3 linked regions of the Drosophila melanogaster genome follow. Changing the gene in region 3 together with the main gene of any one other region gives a genetic interaction. Each region holds a gene or a part of one and is shown on either strand. Other genes may lie near its edges.

Evidence for each region. Genes that interact genetically often act in the same process or in processes that back each other up.
Region 1: of Rho1 (region 3) and crb, changing one suppresses a phenotype caused by changing the other (phenotypic suppression), as found in Drosophila melanogaster (2 studies listed by BioGRID).
Region 2: of Rho1 (region 3) and Moe, changing one suppresses a phenotype caused by changing the other (phenotypic suppression), as found in Drosophila melanogaster (3 studies listed by BioGRID).

Annotation. Positions count from the first base shown.
Region 1 is NT_033777.3:24,293,177-24,298,080, reverse strand, and holds the start of crb (crumbs), read right to left. Parts: upstream 3,004-4,904; 5' UTR 2,455-3,003; coding exon 2,217-2,454; intron 1-2,216. Other genes in the region: CG5715 (uncharacterized protein), read left to right, coding at 3,711-4,103, 4,160-4,654; Uck (Uridine-cytidine kinase), read right to left, coding at 4,837-4,904.
Region 2 is NC_004354.4:8,873,120-8,880,610, reverse strand, and holds Moe (moesin), read left to right. Parts: upstream 1-1,885; 5' UTR 1,886-2,073; coding exon 2,074-2,142; intron 2,143-3,449; exon of another isoform or gene 3,450-3,555; coding exon of another isoform or gene 3,556-3,597; intron 3,598-3,858; coding exon 3,859-4,038; intron 4,039-4,173; coding exon 4,174-4,305; intron 4,306-4,551; coding exon 4,552-4,578; intron 4,579-4,589; exon of another isoform or gene 4,590-4,750; coding exon 4,751-5,517; intron 5,518-5,711; coding exon 5,712-6,108; intron 6,109-6,209; coding exon 6,210-6,422; intron 6,423-6,499; coding exon 6,500-6,664; 3' UTR 6,665-6,988; downstream 6,989-7,491. UniProt on the Drosophila melanogaster protein: Involved in connections of major cytoskeletal structures to the plasma membrane. Together with wgn, involved in control of axon targeting of R8 and R2-R5 photoreceptors, independent of egr.
Region 3 is NT_033778.4:16,100,896-16,107,734, reverse strand, and holds Rho1 (Rho1), read right to left. Parts: upstream 5,049-6,839; 5' UTR 4,843-5,048; exon of another isoform or gene 4,786-4,842; intron 4,639-4,785; exon of another isoform or gene 4,427-4,638; intron 4,270-4,426; exon of another isoform or gene 4,125-4,269; 5' UTR 4,117-4,124; coding exon 3,961-4,116; intron 2,703-3,960; coding exon 2,553-2,702; intron 2,019-2,552; coding exon 1,938-2,018; intron 1,876-1,937; coding exon 1,684-1,875; 3' UTR 506-1,683; downstream 1-505. Other genes in the region: CG8414 (uncharacterized protein), read left to right, coding at 5,208-5,625, 5,685-5,900, 5,954-6,839. UniProt on the Drosophila melanogaster protein: Has a role in regulating actin cytoskeletal organization: required during early development for proper execution of morphogenetic movements of individual cells and groups of cells important for the formation of the embryonic body plan.

The DNA of each region.
Region 1 (4,904 bases), on a different chromosome or scaffold from region 3:
TTAAAGGACTGGGGCAAATCAGTTCTTTTTCAGTTATACTCTGGCTATTTTTATAGACCTGGCTAACGACTTGCACTAATGGCCAACGTCAGGCAATGGTCGCGGCCGGCTGCGTAGGCCCACGGAACATGGCCCACGACCCGCGTCACGGCCGATTGCACTTTAACACTTGACCAGGTTGAAACACCGGACACCGGAGAGCGGAGAACGCGGGTGTGTCCAGCGTACAATTTCCATTCCATTCTCGATTTTCATTTATGTACGTGCCAGAGAATTTCCATAAACTCGCGGGGTCACGTGTTGTTATCGTTAACGCAATGCAGGTAGTTTCGGTTCATTTGTGTTTTCCCTCCACTTTTCCAGCGTGCCTAGTATACCTGTGCCGCGATTTTTCCCCTGAAAATGATGGATTATATCTGTTTAGGGCGGAAATTCAAACGAAAGCCGTACAGAAACCACTCTCGAAGTGAAGATGACGCTGATGATCTTCGCTGTCGGTGTCTGGATTTTACGATGGAAGCTGCCATAAACCAGTTGCTGTGATGCCTTTCAGGGATTTCCCAGCCCAGACATTCATTTTCTCTTCTTTTTATTCGTCGGTTTTCCTTGTCAATCATAAACCAAAGTCATTTGATAAATTCTACGATAAAAGGTATACGAAAATACAGGGCCTATAGAGAGGTTGGTTCTTTACAATTAAAAGAAAATGTGTTCATGGAAATGAATGAATTATAGCTCTTTATTAGGGCTTTTCACTCGTTTGGATTTTTTTTAATTATTAAGCTGAAAATTTGTTTACTATTAGCTTCAAGAGCTGATAAACTGGTTTACTATGTTTTCGCTGCACTCCAGGGCTTTCCCTACTTCGAGTTGGAAAACTCTTTCTCTATCTGTGCTCCCTTCTCCTGAGTGTTCTTCTTATCAACCTATCAACGGAATTGCGGTATTGCTGACGTTGAGTTGGCCGCGCTTTTGCAACTGTTGTACTTCACTTTCCGGCCAAAAGATAAGATTGCGCGTAACAACAGCCGGATGGCTGGCCGTTTGGAGGGTTGGTACTCGAATTGTAAATAAATAGACCCAATTTTTGAGGTCGTTTTTGCACAATCCGTTGGAAAAAGGGGGCAGACAATGCTAAGCCAGCCAAACAATTGAGCCGCGGACAACATGTAACAGAAAATTACACATAATGAGTCAGCAAGAGTTGTGAATCAATTATTATGATCGTTATGCGATAAGTTTCACAGATTTCACTGTTGTGATATCGCTAAAAGCGCTTTGAAAATGCAGACAAATGAGGTTTTATTACCAAAAAATCGCACCAGTATCAACAAATGCAGAAACAATAATTTGTTACGATTCCCTGTTATTTACCTAAAAATATGATATCCATTTGTAAGCTACAGTGTGTAAAAAATGCGGGTCACGTTAAAATATCTCTTCTGGTTTCAGTAATTAATTCTTCTTGGCCAAGATTGCTAACATTAACCGCCTTTGAAGCTATAATTTGATTAATTATCTCTCTCAGCGACTAAAGTTGTACTCTACTAAATATAAATTTATACGCAATCGAAGCTAATACATTTCTAAGCATTCCTTTTGTTTGCAAGATAAGACCGAGCACACAATCATCAAAAATTAGAAATGAGTGTATAATTAACACAATCAAACTTCAGGTAAGCCAGCTCCATGAGTCACTTCTTGAAGGAAAACCCGTTGAACGAGTTTTTCGTAGGCCCGAAATCATTGAAAATCCAAATTCCTTTTACCCAACATGACTTGGTCAACATCCCCAAAACACACGAATGCCCCACCACACACACACATGACCTGTTGCTCTTTTTTTTCGATTACGAGCTTTTGAAACATCAGCAAATGTTTAAGCTAAAGAATGCATGTGGCTCATCATATAAATTATTTACAGTGTGACTTCCGTAACTCAATCTCATTAACTCATTAATCATATGAGCAGCCAAAGGCTTAAACACAATAACAACATTACAAATTCCATTTAAAATGGGCATCTAATATACATTTTAATAATTTATAACGGGCAAGTTCAGTGCTGTGGAGTGATCACTGTAGCTTAAGAACCGCGTAAACACCGTGTTGCTCTCTCATGTCCCCATCTTCGCTCTCTCCTCCTGAATGTCCTCGACTGCCTATCGCCCTCCCTCTCACTCACTCGCTAGCTCCCTCTCAGGGTTCTCTCTCACCTGTTGCTAAGTAAATAAGTATGAAGAGCGGTATCCATTGAGGCGACGAATAAACTGAAATGGCGCGCTTGAGCAAATGCGACGTAATTTGAGCTGCGCTTTTCGTGCGGTCTCGACTTCTTGCTGTTGTTGTTGCTGTTTCTACTGATGCCGCCACTGTTGTTGTTGTGGTCGTTGCTGTTTCTGCTTGCCGCTGTTTTTGTTGTTGCGACAGTGACGCATTGGCGATTTTAGCCATGATCGCTGATTTGTTGGCTCAAGTCGAGTTTTCGTATTGGAAAGGGTTGCTTTTGGCTAGATATTATTGCTATTCAAACGATACTCATTGAGCTTGTTGTTGTTGGTAATTGCATTCTCCCTTCTCTCTGCTCCACGCAAACACTCATACGCACACACACACACGCGCGCAATCGGCACTTGGCTTAGAACAGGTTATTTTTATTTTTTTTAAGTTATATTCCTCTTTTTCTGCTAGTTGTATTATTTGCAAACTTTCGCACGCGACACTTTCTAGCCTGAATTTGAATATTGAGCACAGAGATTCCACTTTGAGCCAACTAATTTGCCATTTCTTCCCAGGCCACGATTCTGAATCACACCAACACACACACACACATACGAGCGCCGAAGACTTGGCTTAAAAGAGAGGTGCGCTGTTCTTGTTGTTGTCGCTGCCCTTTTGAACTGCAAGCAGCACACACACACGCGCGCGCACACACATTGGCCAAAACGGGGCGAAAAAAACGTTACGAGCGCGAGCAACCAATAAAACGTACGTACGAGCAGCAAGAAAAATGTTCGACCGTTTGAATCGGCGATATCCGTTTCGTGGGCTTATATATGGTGCAGTGTGACCAGTCCGCTTGGCTAGGTTTGGCTGGATTTTGATATAGAGTCAACATGCATGGCCACACTGATATTCAAGTTGCACAGTGGTACAATATGTACAAAAAAAATATTTTGTTCTTGAATTGATTTCGCACAAGAATTAAACCGTTAATTACATTTTCATAAAACTTTACTGATATAACTATTCAATATATCAATTAATATCGTGTGTATGTCTAGGTGACATTCCAAAATACACGAGCATAGTAAAGTTTAATTTATGGCGGGAACATGAAAACGTAAACTTCACTTAAATTACCAACGGCAGTTATGGGTTTTGTAAGTTGTGACCTACATCATCATAATCCAAATAGAATAAACCTTTTATAATACCGCAAATCTTAACTTGCGAAAATTCCGCACTGCACATATTTTCAAGTCGGAATGCATAAAAGTAAATTCCCCATAAATCAAGAAGCCGGCGGATAGCAACTACGTACTTAATGTAAATGTAAACGGCCACAAAGCGCCGACTTATCGTTTCAAAGAGAACTCAGCATAAACAGGCAGCACCGACAACATGTCGTCAATTTTTGGAGGTCTAGGTGGGACTATATAATGTGGGTAAGCCTGGTTAGAAATCACAGCAGTTGGGGAATTAGCAAAATGGGCAAATCGCAAAATAATACTGGTTCGCTTTTGCTACTGATTATACTGGGCATTTCTCTGGGAGATTCCATGCCCCTGGAGGATATGGACTCCCAGGAAATGATTGACTTGACAGATCTTGGAGATACTCTGTTCGGTAATCCGGACGTGGAGACGACTGGAGCTTTGGTTGAGGCACTCGGTGTGGAATCCCCGCTGAATCCCGAGGAGCTGGGAACCTACCACGAAGGTGACATCCTGATTCCACTGAGCTACAGGGACGCCCGATTCAATGGCACTCGTAATGGCATTTTGGCGCTGAGTTCCCGCTGGCCGGGCGGCGTTGTGCCCTACGAGATCAAAGGTCCTTTTACCAGCCAGGAATTGGGGAATATTAACCACGCTTTTAAGGTGAGGTTTCAGTAATAGTCCCTATTACAATTTACAAATAAGATTTTGTATCTTAGGAATACCACACCAAAACATGCGTGCGCTTCAAGCCCAGGACCACCGAAAAGGATTACATCTCCATTGGTAGCGGAAAGTCTGGCTGCTGGAGTAGCATTGGGCGCTTAGGTGGTCGCCAGGAAGTGAATCTGCAGTCGCCCAACTGCTTGCGTACATACGGCACTCCCATTCACGAGCTGATGCACGCCCTGGGCTTCTTCCATGAGCAGAATCGTCACGAACGTGACTCCTATGTGCGCGTGATGAAGGACAACATCAAGCCCGAGATGATGGTCAACTTCGAGAAGTCCAGTTCCAGGACACAGTACGGCTTCGGCGTGGAATACGACTATGGCAGTGTGATGCACTACTCCCCCACCAGTTTCACTCGGAATGGCCAGCCCACGTTGAAGGCACTGCGTGCCACATCCGATGCCAGCCAGATGGGTCAACGCAAGGGCTTCTCAGCCGGAGATGTGCGCAAGATCAACGCAATGTACAAGTGCAAGGTGTAGATGACAACTGCAGTCGAAGCATTCGGTAACAGTATTTTGACAAACATAAATATTTATCATCAACAATCAATTGTGTTTACTGAAAAAATATGTCTATGGGTACAATATTTGGTTAGATAATTAACAATCGCCTATGTGCGTCGTGTCTTGTACTGCTCCGGGAACTCTCACGCCATCCCATCCTAGTGGTACGGCAGGTTCTTATTTGTCTCAAAGAAATAGTTGCCCTGCATGTTGAGCTCCTTGCAGA
Region 2 (7,491 bases), on a different chromosome or scaffold from region 3:
TTATACAAAGAGTGCCAATTGTGCAAGAAATTTTGCATTCATATCGTGATCTTTCGATTTGCAACTAAAACAACTAAAGCACGCCTCATGTTTTAGATAATCAATATATACGAATAGTTTTGGTTTGATATTAATTGCTGCTAATCAAGTGAAATGTGCGCAGAAACACACTGACTTTATTATAATATTTCTATTTCTTATATTTTGCAGATTGCAGCACAAAAACAATAAAGAGTTCAGACGATAATATCCTGGAAAGAAAACATTTCGTTTCGATAAGTACGACAAGACACGAAACAACAAAATGTCTCCAAAAGCGGTAAGTTAACCAATAACTATAAAATAATAAATAATTAGTACTGATTAGACAGTATTATAATAAGTTCGAAATATTCCATTATAATGGTAACCATATATCACTGGAATGAAACCACAAACGAATCTGATAAAACAAATGTTTTGCACTAGCGCCTAGTAAATTATTAAAGATTAGTTATATTAAATCACAACGAAAAGTTTGTCAGCTATCAGCTATCGGAAATTGTGTTCTTATCAAGAGAGCACTTCAGCTACAATTGTCGTCAATTGTGGAGTGTTGGGATCGCATCGCATCTTTTAATAGAACTTCTTCTGGGGGGGAATGGGGATGGCCAGGCGAAGACGTCATATTGGCCCAACTGTTGACGTTGGTAATTGTATTTGATTCTTGGACATTTGCCAAAAAAAATTTCATCATTTCATCAGATACGCAGACGGCGAAAAATTGGATTAGAAGACGACGTCATTGATATGAACACATGAGTAGATCATTATTTCATACCAAAGCATTTGCCAATTTCTTTTTGACATGTTGTGATTTCTTTTTTTTTTTTTTTGGCAACCGGAAAAGTTCTTATCTCACCCAGCGATGGTCTAATGACATTTTTGCCTCAACTTGATTGTTAATGAATGATGTATTTGTTATGAGTTCATCATGACAATCAAACACGTGATTTGAAGTGATTTTATAATACAATTTGGATGATTGAAAGGTGATTTTTGCACAAAGCTTTAAGAAGTCGTTTGCCTTTTAGGGAAATTTCTCTGTTCCAATGCAGTAGTCGATGCACATCGTGCTTGAATGGTTTCTCCATAACTTTCCCTTTTTCGCTATAGTTTTTCTCATCCATAACTAGATGTTTATTGGTCTGTTTGAATAGCTTGATATGTGAGTGCGGAGTGGGGAGGGGGGAGGGGTTTAATTGCTATTTGAGGCCCAAAAGCGGCATCAATAAAACAGAATTGACAGCCAACGCGTCGTATGATTGACGCTGATTTGTTTGCCTACCTTGGGGCTGCGTTTCTACGGCGCTCTCTCGTGCTCTTCGGCGCACAGCGCTGGCCAAATGACTAGTGTTCAAACTAAAAATTAGCTAACTATACAGCTAATTCAATCAATAATTCATTTAGAGAATTGGTTGTGTTTTGATTTATATATATATTTTTTAAATATATTTTACCATATTGCACTATTTACTTGACCCCCATTGCATTCACATACTTCTCTCGTTCTGGAAAACCCATTTGACCTCTATGGTCAGCAGTTCTTTTCTTTATGGTTGCGGCTGTCCACTTTTAGATGCATAATTAACATGCAATTTATATTAACTTGACAACGAATGACTGGGATAAAAATTTTCCCATTTTCTTGGGCAGAAATTAAGTTCATTTTGTGTTGTGTTGTGTGTTCCCTTAGCGTTTCTTTTGCGTTCTGCCGCCGCCGCCGCTTTCCCAGTGTTGTTTTTTGTTTTTCTTCTCTTCTAGCATTTATTTTCCTTTTGCCTTTTGCGCTTGTCTTCCCCATTTGGCGACTTAAAAACGTGCCGTGACTTTTCCATTTTCCTCAGTTGCCGCTGGACAACAGAATCGAATCGTCGCTTTTCCGCTTTTAACCATCGTGTCGCGTTGGTCGGTTGGTTTTCCCGCGTAGCTTGTGGCTGCTCAAGAATATATATATATTTCCCAGACGGAGATTTGCATTGAAAAGGCGTAATAATTCAAAAGCTACTGCGCAATCCGTTTTCGGTGCCCAAAATGGTCGTCGTCTCCGACAGCCGCGTCCGTTTGCCGCGTTACGGCGGAGTCAGCGTCAAACGGAAAACGGTACGGACCACACTGCTCACTATTTTCCACGTTTTTCCTGCTAAGCTGGAAAAGCGCATCCCCCTTTTCTTTTTTTTTTTTTTCATGTGCTGCACTTTTGTGGTTTCAAGTCAAAAACCATTTTTTTTTCTTTTTTAAAAACTGGTTATTATGCTCCAACTTCCGTTGCAAATAGCTGTTGTGTTTTTCATTCTCAGCGGCCAGGGGGAGAAAAAAACAAAGCAGAAACCACGGTGGTTGCATTAACCCAAAAACGTTAATTGGATTGAAATGAAAAACGTTTTCAATTTCCTAACATTGTGTCACGTTTGATTTGCATTCAGCAGCCGAAAGCGAAAACAAAACAATGAGCCCTCGGACTGAAAAGCAAAACCGAGCCAAACAAAATGATGAAGTTAAAAAATTTTAATTTGTTGGGTCTACCACACATTGTTTTTTCCCATGCCCAGAAAATGGTAACAAAAACCAGCGGATTTTCAAAGGGCCTTTAAAACTGAAATTGGTTCAATCAATCTTAACAGATAGGAAATAAAATAGTTTAAAAAAATTTGTAGCTGATTTAGGTATTTAGCAAAATTCCTTTGTATATTTCAATAAAGTAAAGGAATATTTTAAACGAATGGTTTTTAATGTAAGACTTACATTTGTTGGCCATGTTGTAAAAAGCGAACTGAATTGTTAGTTATATATACTCTATTGTCTGCGCTGCATATTAACCCCAATTTTGATCTACGATCGCATTTACTTTGATCCAAATGTGGCGATTGCGCAATGGTATGTAGTGTAGTTAGTACAGGTTGACATGTGCATGTGCTGTGTGTCCGACGTTGGGTGGCGATGTGGGTGGAATTTCCCTAGCTTTTCCGCCATTTCACATTGCAAGTTGGTCAAGTGGCACGCGCAGTGGGATAGATAGCGGCTGAGCTCTCTCTTTCTATCTCTCTCTTGTATAACCACCGATTACCACTCGCTGGCCATCCGGTCTATATTCCCATACACACACACACACACACACACGCACACCCCACACCCTGTGTTTTCCCCCCACTTATTTCCACTATCTAGAGCTGCCTGGTCATTTCCAGCTTGTTGCTATTGTCATGCCTGATTGATTTTTGCTTTGCTGTTTTCCAAGCGTGATTTTTCACTGCGGCCCGCTTTCATTTTCCCTCTTTCCATTTTGCCCTCCATTTTCCCCCATTTCCCCCCATTTTTTCAAGCATTTTTCACCCATTTGAAACGTGTGTGTGCGCGCGTTTAAGTCGAAAGCCCGACTTATGCAAGTCGTGGCAATCGAATCCAATCCTCCAAAGCGAAACGGGAGCTCTTGGCACGTGCCCTGCTCACATCCCGTTAATCCATCGACCCCTAAACAAATCGTGGGGGATTCTCCTCTGCACGCCACCTTCATCGATGGGTGTCAATTTTTTACTCTTTTTTTTTTCTATTTGGCTTGTGAGCATGCCCAGTTAGTTTGATCTAGTTAGCTTTTCATGTCATGGATGATGGCACTTTTAACTTAAGAAATGCAGCAAAAGAAACAAATAAGTTACATTTAATTAATAAAACATTCTGTTTGATTCATTCGTTTTTAGTTTGCCTTCTAAAGGCAATGCTTTGTTCTTTTATATATATATATATATATATATTTTTGCGTTATTTTAATCATTTAATACGATATTTTTTTAATATCACGACATCCCTTACTAATTTCAGCTAAATGTGCGCGTCACGACAATGGACGCGGAACTGGAGTTCGCCATTCAGTCGACGACGACGGGCAAGCAATTGTTTGACCAGGTGGTGAAGACGATCGGCCTGCGAGAGGTTTGGTTCTTTGGACTCCAGTACACCGACTCCAAGGGCGACTCCACATGGATCAAGCTGTACAAAAAGGTAGGCGACTATAAATTTCATACAAATAAAGTTTGAAGTTTATAGTTCAAAAGAATATAAATTTAAATTATTTACTAAGATTGCATGTACATCATAATATTTATAAATGTAATGTATGGTACATACATAATATAGCCCGAATCGCCGGCCATAAAGACAATAAAATATTTAAAGCGTGTAAAGAAGTATGTGGACAAAAAGACAGCCGACAGCAATGGAGTAAATCATTTAGAGACGAGCGAAGAGGATGACGACGCCGATGATATGGTGGGCAGAGATCGAGAATATATTTATATATATATATATATGCCAATCCAGCAAAGTACATCCACAAAAAGTCCCAGCTAGAACATAAACCGAATTATCCTGTAAAATGCCAATTCTATAATTGTATTGTATCGCCTCGCCTTCGAATGCTTAGCTTAAGTTAATTAGCGATTGTTAGAGACTTGATTTACTAATACAAATGCAATCTCTGTATATGATTTAATGCTGCACCACAACAACAAACAGACTGGATCAATGCCGTTTTCGACATGGGTAACACTCAGACGCCGCATGCACTTTTTTATCTATGATATTATGTTTATTATTTCATTATTGAATCGGGAAAACCAAACGTTTTTTTTTTTTTCGTATACAAATCCATTTGCAGTTTGTAAACTTTAGCGTGCATTCGCATCTAATAGTGATATGTTTTCGCTTTTCACAGGTGATGAACCAGGACGTGAAGAAGGAGAATCCCTTGCAGTTTAGGTTCCGTGCCAAATTCTATCCCGAGGATGTGGCCGAGGAGCTGATCCAGGACATTACACTGCGTCTGTTCTACCTGCAGGTGAAGAATGCCATACTGACCGACGAGATCTATTGTCCGCCAGAGACATCCGTGCTGCTCGCCTCGTACGCCGTCCAGGCGCGTCATGGTGACCACAATAAGACCACCCACACAGCCGGCTTTCTGGCCAACGATCGCCTGCTGCCGCAGCGCGTCATCGACCAGCACAAGATGTCCAAGGACGAGTGGGAGCAGTCGATTATGACCTGGTGGCAGGAGCATCGCAGCATGCTGCGCGAGGATGCCATGATGGAGTATCTGAAGATCGCCCAAGACCTGGAGATGTACGGCGTTAACTACTTTGAGATCCGCAACAAGAAGGGCACGGATCTTTGGCTGGGCGTAGACGCACTGGGTCTGAACATTTACGAGCAGGACGATAGGTTGACGCCGAAAATTGGTTTCCCATGGTCCGAGATTCGCAACATTTCGTTCTCGGAGAAGAAGTTCATCATCAAGCCGATCGACAAGAAGGCTCCGGACTTTATGTTCTTTGCGCCACGTGTCCGCATCAACAAGCGCATTCTGGCCCTCTGCATGGGCAACCACGAGCTGTACATGCGTCGCCGCAAGCCGGACACCATCGATGTGCAGCAGATGAAGGCGCAGGCGCGCGAGGAGAAGAATGCCAAACAGCAGGAACGGTTAGTACGGATTTCAAGTCATGTCTGTTTGAATGAATCAAAACTTTGGGAATTTCAACGAAATACAACGTTTCAATGACCCGAAACATAATGATTCGAGCATATCATTTCCATGAGAGTCTGATTCATGCACAGGCTATAATCTGCAAGCAGATGATTCCCTTCTTATTTTCGGTGTTCTTTCGTTTTTGCAGTGAGAAGCTGCAGCTGGCGCTGGCCGCACGCGAACGCGCTGAAAAGAAGCAGCAGGAGTACGAGGATCGGCTAAAGCAGATGCAGGAGGACATGGAGCGTTCGCAGCGCGATCTGCTTGAGGCGCAGGACATGATCCGCCGGCTGGAGGAGCAGCTGAAGCAGCTGCAGGCCGCCAAGGATGAGCTGGAGCTGCGCCAGAAGGAGCTGCAGGCGATGCTGCAGCGCCTCGAGGAGGCCAAGAATATGGAGGCCGTCGAGAAGCTCAAGCTCGAGGAGGAGATCATGGCCAAGCAGATGGAGGTGCAGCGCATTCAGGACGAGGTCAACGCCAAGGATGAGGAGACAAAGCGTCTGCAGGACGAAGTGGAAGACGCCCGACGCAAGCAGGTCATTGCGGTACACTTTTTTCACTATTTGTTGGCATCGAAAAAACCAATGAATATAGTCTTGATACCATTTTGTGTTCAACTTTATACTGAACATTGTCGTTTTTGTAGGCTGAAGCCGCTGCCGCTCTGCTGGCCGCGTCGACAACGCCGCAGCATCACCACGTGGCCGAGGATGAGAACGAGAACGAGGAGGAGCTGACGAACGGCGATGCCGGTGGCGATGTGTCGCGCGACCTGGACACCGACGAGCATATCAAGGACCCCATCGAGGACAGACGCACGCTGGCCGAGCGCAACGAACGCTTGCACGATCAGCTCAAGGTGGGTTCGAAATCGAGTCCCTTATGCTCCACTCAACTAACAATATCAATTTGATATATATATATATCTATATCTAGGCTCTGAAACAAGATTTGGCGCAGTCTCGCGACGAGACGAAAGAGACGGCAAACGATAAGATTCATCGCGAGAACGTTCGCCAGGGACGTGACAAGTACAAGACGCTCCGCGAGATTCGTAAGGGCAACACAAAGCGTCGCGTCGATCAGTTTGAGAACATGTAAAAGCTATCAAAGATCAGAGATCGATAGTGCGCGGGAAAGAGAGAGGGAGCGGTGAGACTCCAGAAAGAAAAAGAAAAAGATATAACTACAGCAAGAGCAGATAATAATAATGATGATTGATAATGATGAAGATGATGATGAAGAATAAGCAACAAATATAATTCCGGTCGCTGGCAAAAGCCTATTGCTAACTATCCCACCAGCGACGACCCTTTTCCACCCATAAGAACACTTCCTGCCTCCTAAAGTGAATTGAAATGAAATATACTTTGTTTGACCGTCGTTTTGTCTCGCAGCTTTTGTATAGAAGAATCAAGAATAAGCAAAAAGAAAAAAAGAAAAAATAAATTAATGGAAACTAATTTAGCCGGACACAGCACTCATCAATATGAATAGAATGAGAAGACGGTTAGGAAGGACCGCATCTATATGGACAATCAGCAAATGAATGAGGATCAAGCTATCGGAAAATATGTCTAAATCCAAGCAGAAGCAATAGAAAATATACATTTCTCCTTTTCCCAATGGATTCATTGAGAAAACGGAACGAATAGTAATAGATATTGAAAAGGAACATCAGCAACAATAAACAACAACAACATCAACAACAACAAGAACAGCTACTACAACAAAACAAACAACTATTTGCATTTTCCCCCGTTATAATTATTATTTTTATTATTATATAATTACTATTTTTTTTAAATTTGTATAATTAAATAAGAACTTGATTAATTGTTTCTTAAATTAACTTGAGAGAGAGCAACAAACAAAAAGAGAAAAAATATATTATATAAAATATTTTTCTTTAATCTATTTTTGTTTTG
Region 3 (6,839 bases):
TAATAATTAATTGTTATTGCGAATCCTGCAACCGTTCGAACCAAACAGATCGACTGACGAAAAAAAGAAAAACAACAGCTCCAACACGAAAACGAATCAAATGCGGGTAGAAATATAATAGAATTGCTTTCGCCGCGAAAGTTAAGCGATTAAAAAGTACGTTTTAAGAGAAAAGGCTTGGGAACTAGATGTTCAAAGCAATGTGTCGTGTCCATGTTGTTTCGAAAACGACATACCTGTTCGGGAATAATATTGTGAAACCTAATACCTAATCGATGAAAAACCAAAACATTTTGATTCATAATGTTATGTACATTTTAAATGTAAAAAAAAAAATTAAATACAAAAGCACAAAATAAACAAAAACAATACCCTCAATAAAGATTTTTTTAACCCCGTTAAAGATAAGTGTTTTGACTTTAAAGGGCGGGTATTCCCCGGATTTAAATCCATTATCTTAGCCTAATAAAATTCGATGCCCGGCCAAATAAGAAAACAGTTAGTTAAACCAAGAGTAGATCAAATGTACTGTTTATTCATAAGTATAATATAGTTTGGTTGTATCTGATGCATCTTCGAGTTTTTCAACTTCTGTGTGAGAATTACACGATTGACGGTACAAAATACAAAAAAAGAGACATACACATATGTACTGTATAGTATAATTATATGTATAATCGTATTTTATAAAATCATAAAATACTCTTCATATAGTTGTTTGGTTGTTTTGTAGTATCTTTTTTTTTTTATGTTTTCCACTCGTTTTAATGCAAAGTACAAATATTAAAAACTCGCTTAATGCGCTCGAAATAGTTTTTCACTTCATCAAAAATTTTCCCTCTTAGCATCTCCCACGCGAAAACTGAATGCATCTCATTTGTGGCTTACGTTTAGTTAAATAAACATTTATCGTTTTTGTTTTGTTTTGTTTTGTGTTTAGTTCGGCTCTTGTAATGTAGTTTCGCTTCCAACTCCTATTGGCGGCCTGGTCTCTCTGTATTTGATAGATTTAATGGGAACATAACTCTCATCTTGACGCCTACGACCTCCTTGGACCCCGGGATCCAACATCCGATTCCGTTTCCGATTCTGTTCCTAATTCCACTGATTCACCTGACTCACTCACCCTCGCATACGACACAATCTCGTCCAGCCACAGCCGACTCTACACTTGACAACACAGTTAACGAAATAATAACATACATCTAGGAGGAGGGGGTGGACAGAAACGGACACAACTTGAATATGTTTACATATATCGATATATATTTTTTGCTTGCAGTGGCTGACTGATTGATCTGCTCTGCCCTAGTTTTTACAAATAATAATGCCAGAGTTATTACTGTTGTTTACTTCGGTTTATAACTACACTAGACTGTATATAAAATCAAATCCGCATTTGACATTCTACTTGGTGCTGCCTTCCCTTATATCTCGCTGCATCCCTCCTCCGCTGATCTTCTAGCTCAAGCTCTCTGTTTTCTGCTCATGTTTGTTGCTGGTTGGGTGGTGGTGCAGCTTCGTGTATCCGATGTTCTGGTTGTTCTTGATGTTGTTGTTGAGTGGTTGTTGTTCAGCTCGTTATTGTTGTAAAAGGTGTGTATGTGTGTTTGTGTGTGTTTATGCTGTTGTTTTTGCTGTGTGTGTGTGTGGTAAAGATTTTCATGTTGTTGATTTGCTCTTTTAGAGCAAAAGGCATCTGGTCTTCTTCCTCTTTTTGACTTGCAGCGCGGCCCTAGTTGCCGTCTCGAAAACATCTCGCACACCCTCCTTGGACTTAGCCGAACACTCCAAATAGGCAAAGGCATTAATCTTCTCGGCCATGGCGCGACCCTCCTGCGGCTTCACCGGCTCCTGCTTCATTTTTGCTAGATCCTGTAAAATCAAGTTTAGTTTAGTGCTGCAAGTTCACCTCGTTCAACAGCGCGTATACGTACCCGAATTGTGTTGGGATCATTTCGCAAATCTTTCTTATTTCCTACCAAAATGATTGGAACATTTGGACAAAAGTGTTTGACCTGCAATAATGTAGTAAGGATTAGTATCATATTTTGATATCAGATTCCATATAGTCGAACTGCAAAAACAAGTAATTCGTAATTGGGAACCACTTACTTTCTTCTTATCTATATCTATCATTATAAATTAAAGGCTGAGAAGTAAGGAAATGATTCAGAAAGTCAAAGCAAATTGGCTCATAGCAGACTATTTTTAGTGATTAAACTAGAAATAACCAACAATTCTATTAAACTTTCCTCGTTCTAAACCAAAACCAGTCTTTCAGATAGCTTCAATGACATAAACAAGAACACAGAGATGCATAGTCTTAAAGATTCCATATCATAAGCAAATGCATTCGATAACTTCAAAAATGTTTAATATATTTTAACTGGAGTTAAAAGTTCAACTTTTTCCAAATTTGCATCATTACATAAAAATTAAAAACATATTTTGTCTAGACTTGTTAGTTCCGTATAGTATATATATATATAGTACCATACTTGTTTACGATCGTCTGATAGAAACTGTTCTGTAATTCCAGTTAAACTCACCTCTGGGGTCCATTTTTCAGGAATATTTTCTAGCGAATCGGGTGAATCCACTGAGAAACACATCAGTATGACGTCAGTGTCGGGATAGCTCAGCGGTCGTAGTCTGTCGTAGTCCTCCTGCCCGGCCGTATCCCACAAGGCCAGCTCCACCTGGAGAATCGGATGCGGATTATGATTGAGAGTTACGCTTGCAGTTGCGGTGTCGTCAGGGTTATAGATAGATGGGGCTTTTTGTGGCACGGGACGGTGCGATGCGGGCTCGGAGGAGAATGGGACAAGTTCGAGTTGAAGATAGCATGAGTGCGAGTACGAGAGTGTGAGCAAGGAACTTGACGGAAATGCCAAACGAATTAATCACATCGAAGCGAGGCGAAGTGGAATGACGTGAACTTGTGTGTATGTAAACGCTATCCAAACAGAAACACAAACAGAAACTGAAAATTGAAAACCCGCCATATTGCGCAGCAAAGGCAAACACACAGTGTTTATTTCGAAAAAAAGCGCCTGAAAATACTGTAGATCCCAAATGGAATATATGAACGAACATATAGCCAAATCATGACTTGATGCCCCAATGGAAAACGCACATTACATTCCATAGAGTAAGGGAGTGCGCGGTGGAGCGGGAGAGCGCTCCCCCCCCTTAGAAGAGAGTACAGGTAGGCAGGGAGAAAGAGTAAGAGTGAGAGCGCCCGAGAGAGCAGCAGAAAGAGCGGGGGGCGGCGCAACGCATTAAACTGTATGTGCGCAACGGACTTGTATAAGACAAATACAAAATAAAAAGAAAAGAAAACGAGCGGAAGGAAGGGAGCAGCACTACTTCTGTGTGTGTGTGTGTGCTGCCAACTCTCTGTTGAGCATGTGTGCGTGTAAGTGTGGGGAAATGTGCCCAAGTGTGACTTAATCACTGCTATCAAAACTTTGAATTCTTCGGAAAAATCCAAATTTGCACTCCACTTAACCAAAAATGATCTTAATTTTTCTTTTGCTTTTCCAGACACCTTTATTTATGGATGCGTCTGTGGGCATGAGGCGATATTGACTCATTTCATTTTACAGGCGAAGAAAAGGAAATACAACGACCAAGGTGTGGGTGAAGTTGTGGGTGGCACAAACAAGAGAACAATAAACACACACCCATGGGAACACACACCCGCACACACACACACACACACACACACACACACAGAGGCGGGTGGAAAGTGTAAGGAGGATACGCGCACTTGAAAAACGGAATGAATTGAGAATGCACACAAATTATAAAACGAGATCAGACGATTATCACTTGGATGGCAGGGTGGGGTTATCAGGGGAGGGGGGTCAGCCACCGGTTGGGGGTGGCATTCAGAGTGGTGGACGGGACGGGTAGTTAGGGGAGGGGCGGGCCTGTCCGGGAAAAGGGGCTTACCTGTTTGCCATCCACCTCGATGTCGGCCACATAATTCTCGAATACGGTGGGCACATAGACCTCGGGGAACTGATCTTTGCTGAAGACAATCAGAAGGCAAGTTTTACCGCAGGCACCGTCGCCGACAATTACCAATTTCTTGCGAATCGTCGTCATTGGAAGTTCTGCAAAAGGCAAAATCAAACTGTAGCTAGATGCAATGCAAGTGCAGCGGATGCCCGAGGATTCCGAGTCCGATTCTGAATCCGAATACAATTTTCGATTCCGAATCCGAGTCAGCCGTTCTGTTTTATATATTCGCGAAAACTGAACGAGCGCCTGTTCAAAAAATTATCAAAATGAAAAAGCCACACACACACTCGCATACAGTCACACGCACACTGGTGGACACACAGCACAAATACACTCGCGCGCTCGCTCTCTTTTCCGATAGCCCTCTCCCGCTCGCGCACACACTTAGTCATACTTGCGGCTGGACGGCGATCTAATAGTATAAAGTGTGGGGTTCTTTCTTATCTGGCCATTGTCCATTGTCCGTTAGCCGAGTTTTTCCCGTTTTTCTTTACGGTTTTTCGCATTCGCATTTTCATTTTGGTCGCGTCATAGGGCCGCCCGCTTCTCCACCCCTCTCTCCAACACTCCAGGAAACTCCTCTCTCCGCGCCCGTCCCGCTCACACTTTATTCCAAAAACATCTCATCATCCACTCTCGGTATGGCTGTGTGTGTGTGTGTGTGCGTGTGTCTGTTCGCCTCTGGCTGGGCGTGCGTGCATTTGTGTGCGTGCTGTGTGGAATTTTTTCACTTCTGCTCTTTCGGCCACTTACAATTTATATTGGTGATTTCACAACACTCAGCACGAATTCGACACTTAATTTGCTTACAAAATGGCACAAATTTGTTGATTCTTATGCGTCTACCGTTTAGCTATATCGTATAAAAGTTAATGCAATTACAAAAATTCGAATTGAACTCGACGATTTTTTCCCATGCAAAATGACGATGAACAATGTTCATCCGTTTCATTTCTCGGTAGCGGGATGAACGCTCGATGACCAACCAACGCCTTCGAGCGCAGGGCTGTTATTAACCCAATCGATAGTTCTCATCGATGGCAACTCTGTGCGCGTTATTCCCATGACCGACCACGACTGGTAACACCGCACATATGTTATTCTTGCTCTTCTTCTTAAATTTGCGGTCGCATGGCCCGGGAAGTATTGGTAGTTCAGCAAAAAACTGAAAAGGAATGCTTGACGAACATATTCTGAAAGAAATGAAACTGAGCTTCCAGCTCACCGAACAGCGAGAACTAGCCTCTGGTCGCCGTAAGCCGGAAAAACCACAACACCCACCTGCTGTTCCAAAGAAAAAAGTTATTTCAAAGGTGGCCAGCAATCCTGCAAAGATTTCGGAAACAATGATTCAAAAAGCCCAGATGGAGTCGCCCAAAAAATCCAAGAAAAATAAGACAGCCGGCGCAAAGAGACCTCTTTCCAATAATGTGTCGAATCCAGACAGTTCACCATCCCAGAAGAGGCTTAAAAAGGATAATACCCTACCCAAAAAGAATCCTGTAAATAAATCCTCAAATGTTGCAGCTAAAAAATCTGCAGCAACAAGCAAAAGTGCTAAGCTTCCTATTCCCAAGGTTCATAGTATAAATGGTATGCATTAGATCCAGAATTACAACCTCATTTTATTTTAATATATATGTATTTTTCAGAATTAGCTCCTAAGAAAACCAAAGTCAAGACGCCAAATAAAACAAAAGAAGCAAGTTTATCTAAGAAACATAAGGTAAATGGAAACAAGAGCTCAATGAAGGTCGTACAAAATGGTAAAGTAGTAGAGATAATTGGTACTGCAGCGGAAACAAGTGACATTGAAATGAATTCATTGGATGATTGGAGTGAAGAAGACGATTATTTAATTGAAAGTGGTAAGGAATTTTTAATATTACTCTTGTTTCTTAACTTAAACTATGTTTTTTAGACTCTGAAAACGATGTAGTTGAAGAAATAGACGAGACATTTCTTAAAGATCCAAAGATTTTTAAGGTCAAATGCAAAGGCCCCGAATACAAGTTATCAGATATTCTTCCTCCTTTTGAACACGATGAATACCAACCTCTTTTGTTGGATGGGGATGGCAGTGGAACAGTTCGAAAGATTAAGGTATTTAAAAGTGCACAGGAAGAAACTGACAGCGACGAAGATGACATTGATTATGAGCCAGAAGATAGCGATGACTTTGGATCGGAGGAATTTGACAGCGAAGAGTCTGACAGTGAAGACACAAGCAGCGCAGACTATGATAGTGATGGAGATTTCTACAGTGAATATAGCGATATGGAGGATGTTAGTGACAGCGATAGTGAAGAATTCGGAAGCGATATCTTCGACACCGACGACCTCGATTCAACTTATGAGCCACCTGACATTGAGGGATTCTTCGATCATCCACCTGTGGGTATGCAAAGAGAGCCGCTTATTATAGAGGAAATCTTCGACGATCCGCCTGTGGAAAAAAAGCAAGAACGTATTGAACAGTCAAGTGTTATGGATATTGTTGTAAAAAACTTAAGCAGTGTGCCCCCAAAGAAGGAGTCTGAAGTTGCAATTGAAACCGAAGAGAATGATGAGGTATCACTGCCTGAAGTTGTAACACCAGAAAAGGAAAATTATCTCCAACCAAGCGATGTCCCGTTTTACAGAAATCCGCAAGCGAATCCCACTGAGCTTAGCGTCTTTGAGAACAGTCTGAAGAGCAATCATGTGCTGGCCGTGATTAAGGAGGACCTCGAAGTTTATGGCACACTAGTGTTGACTCTACTCTGTGGTCAAATATCAGTAAATGGTTACAGAGCACGCAGGCAGGA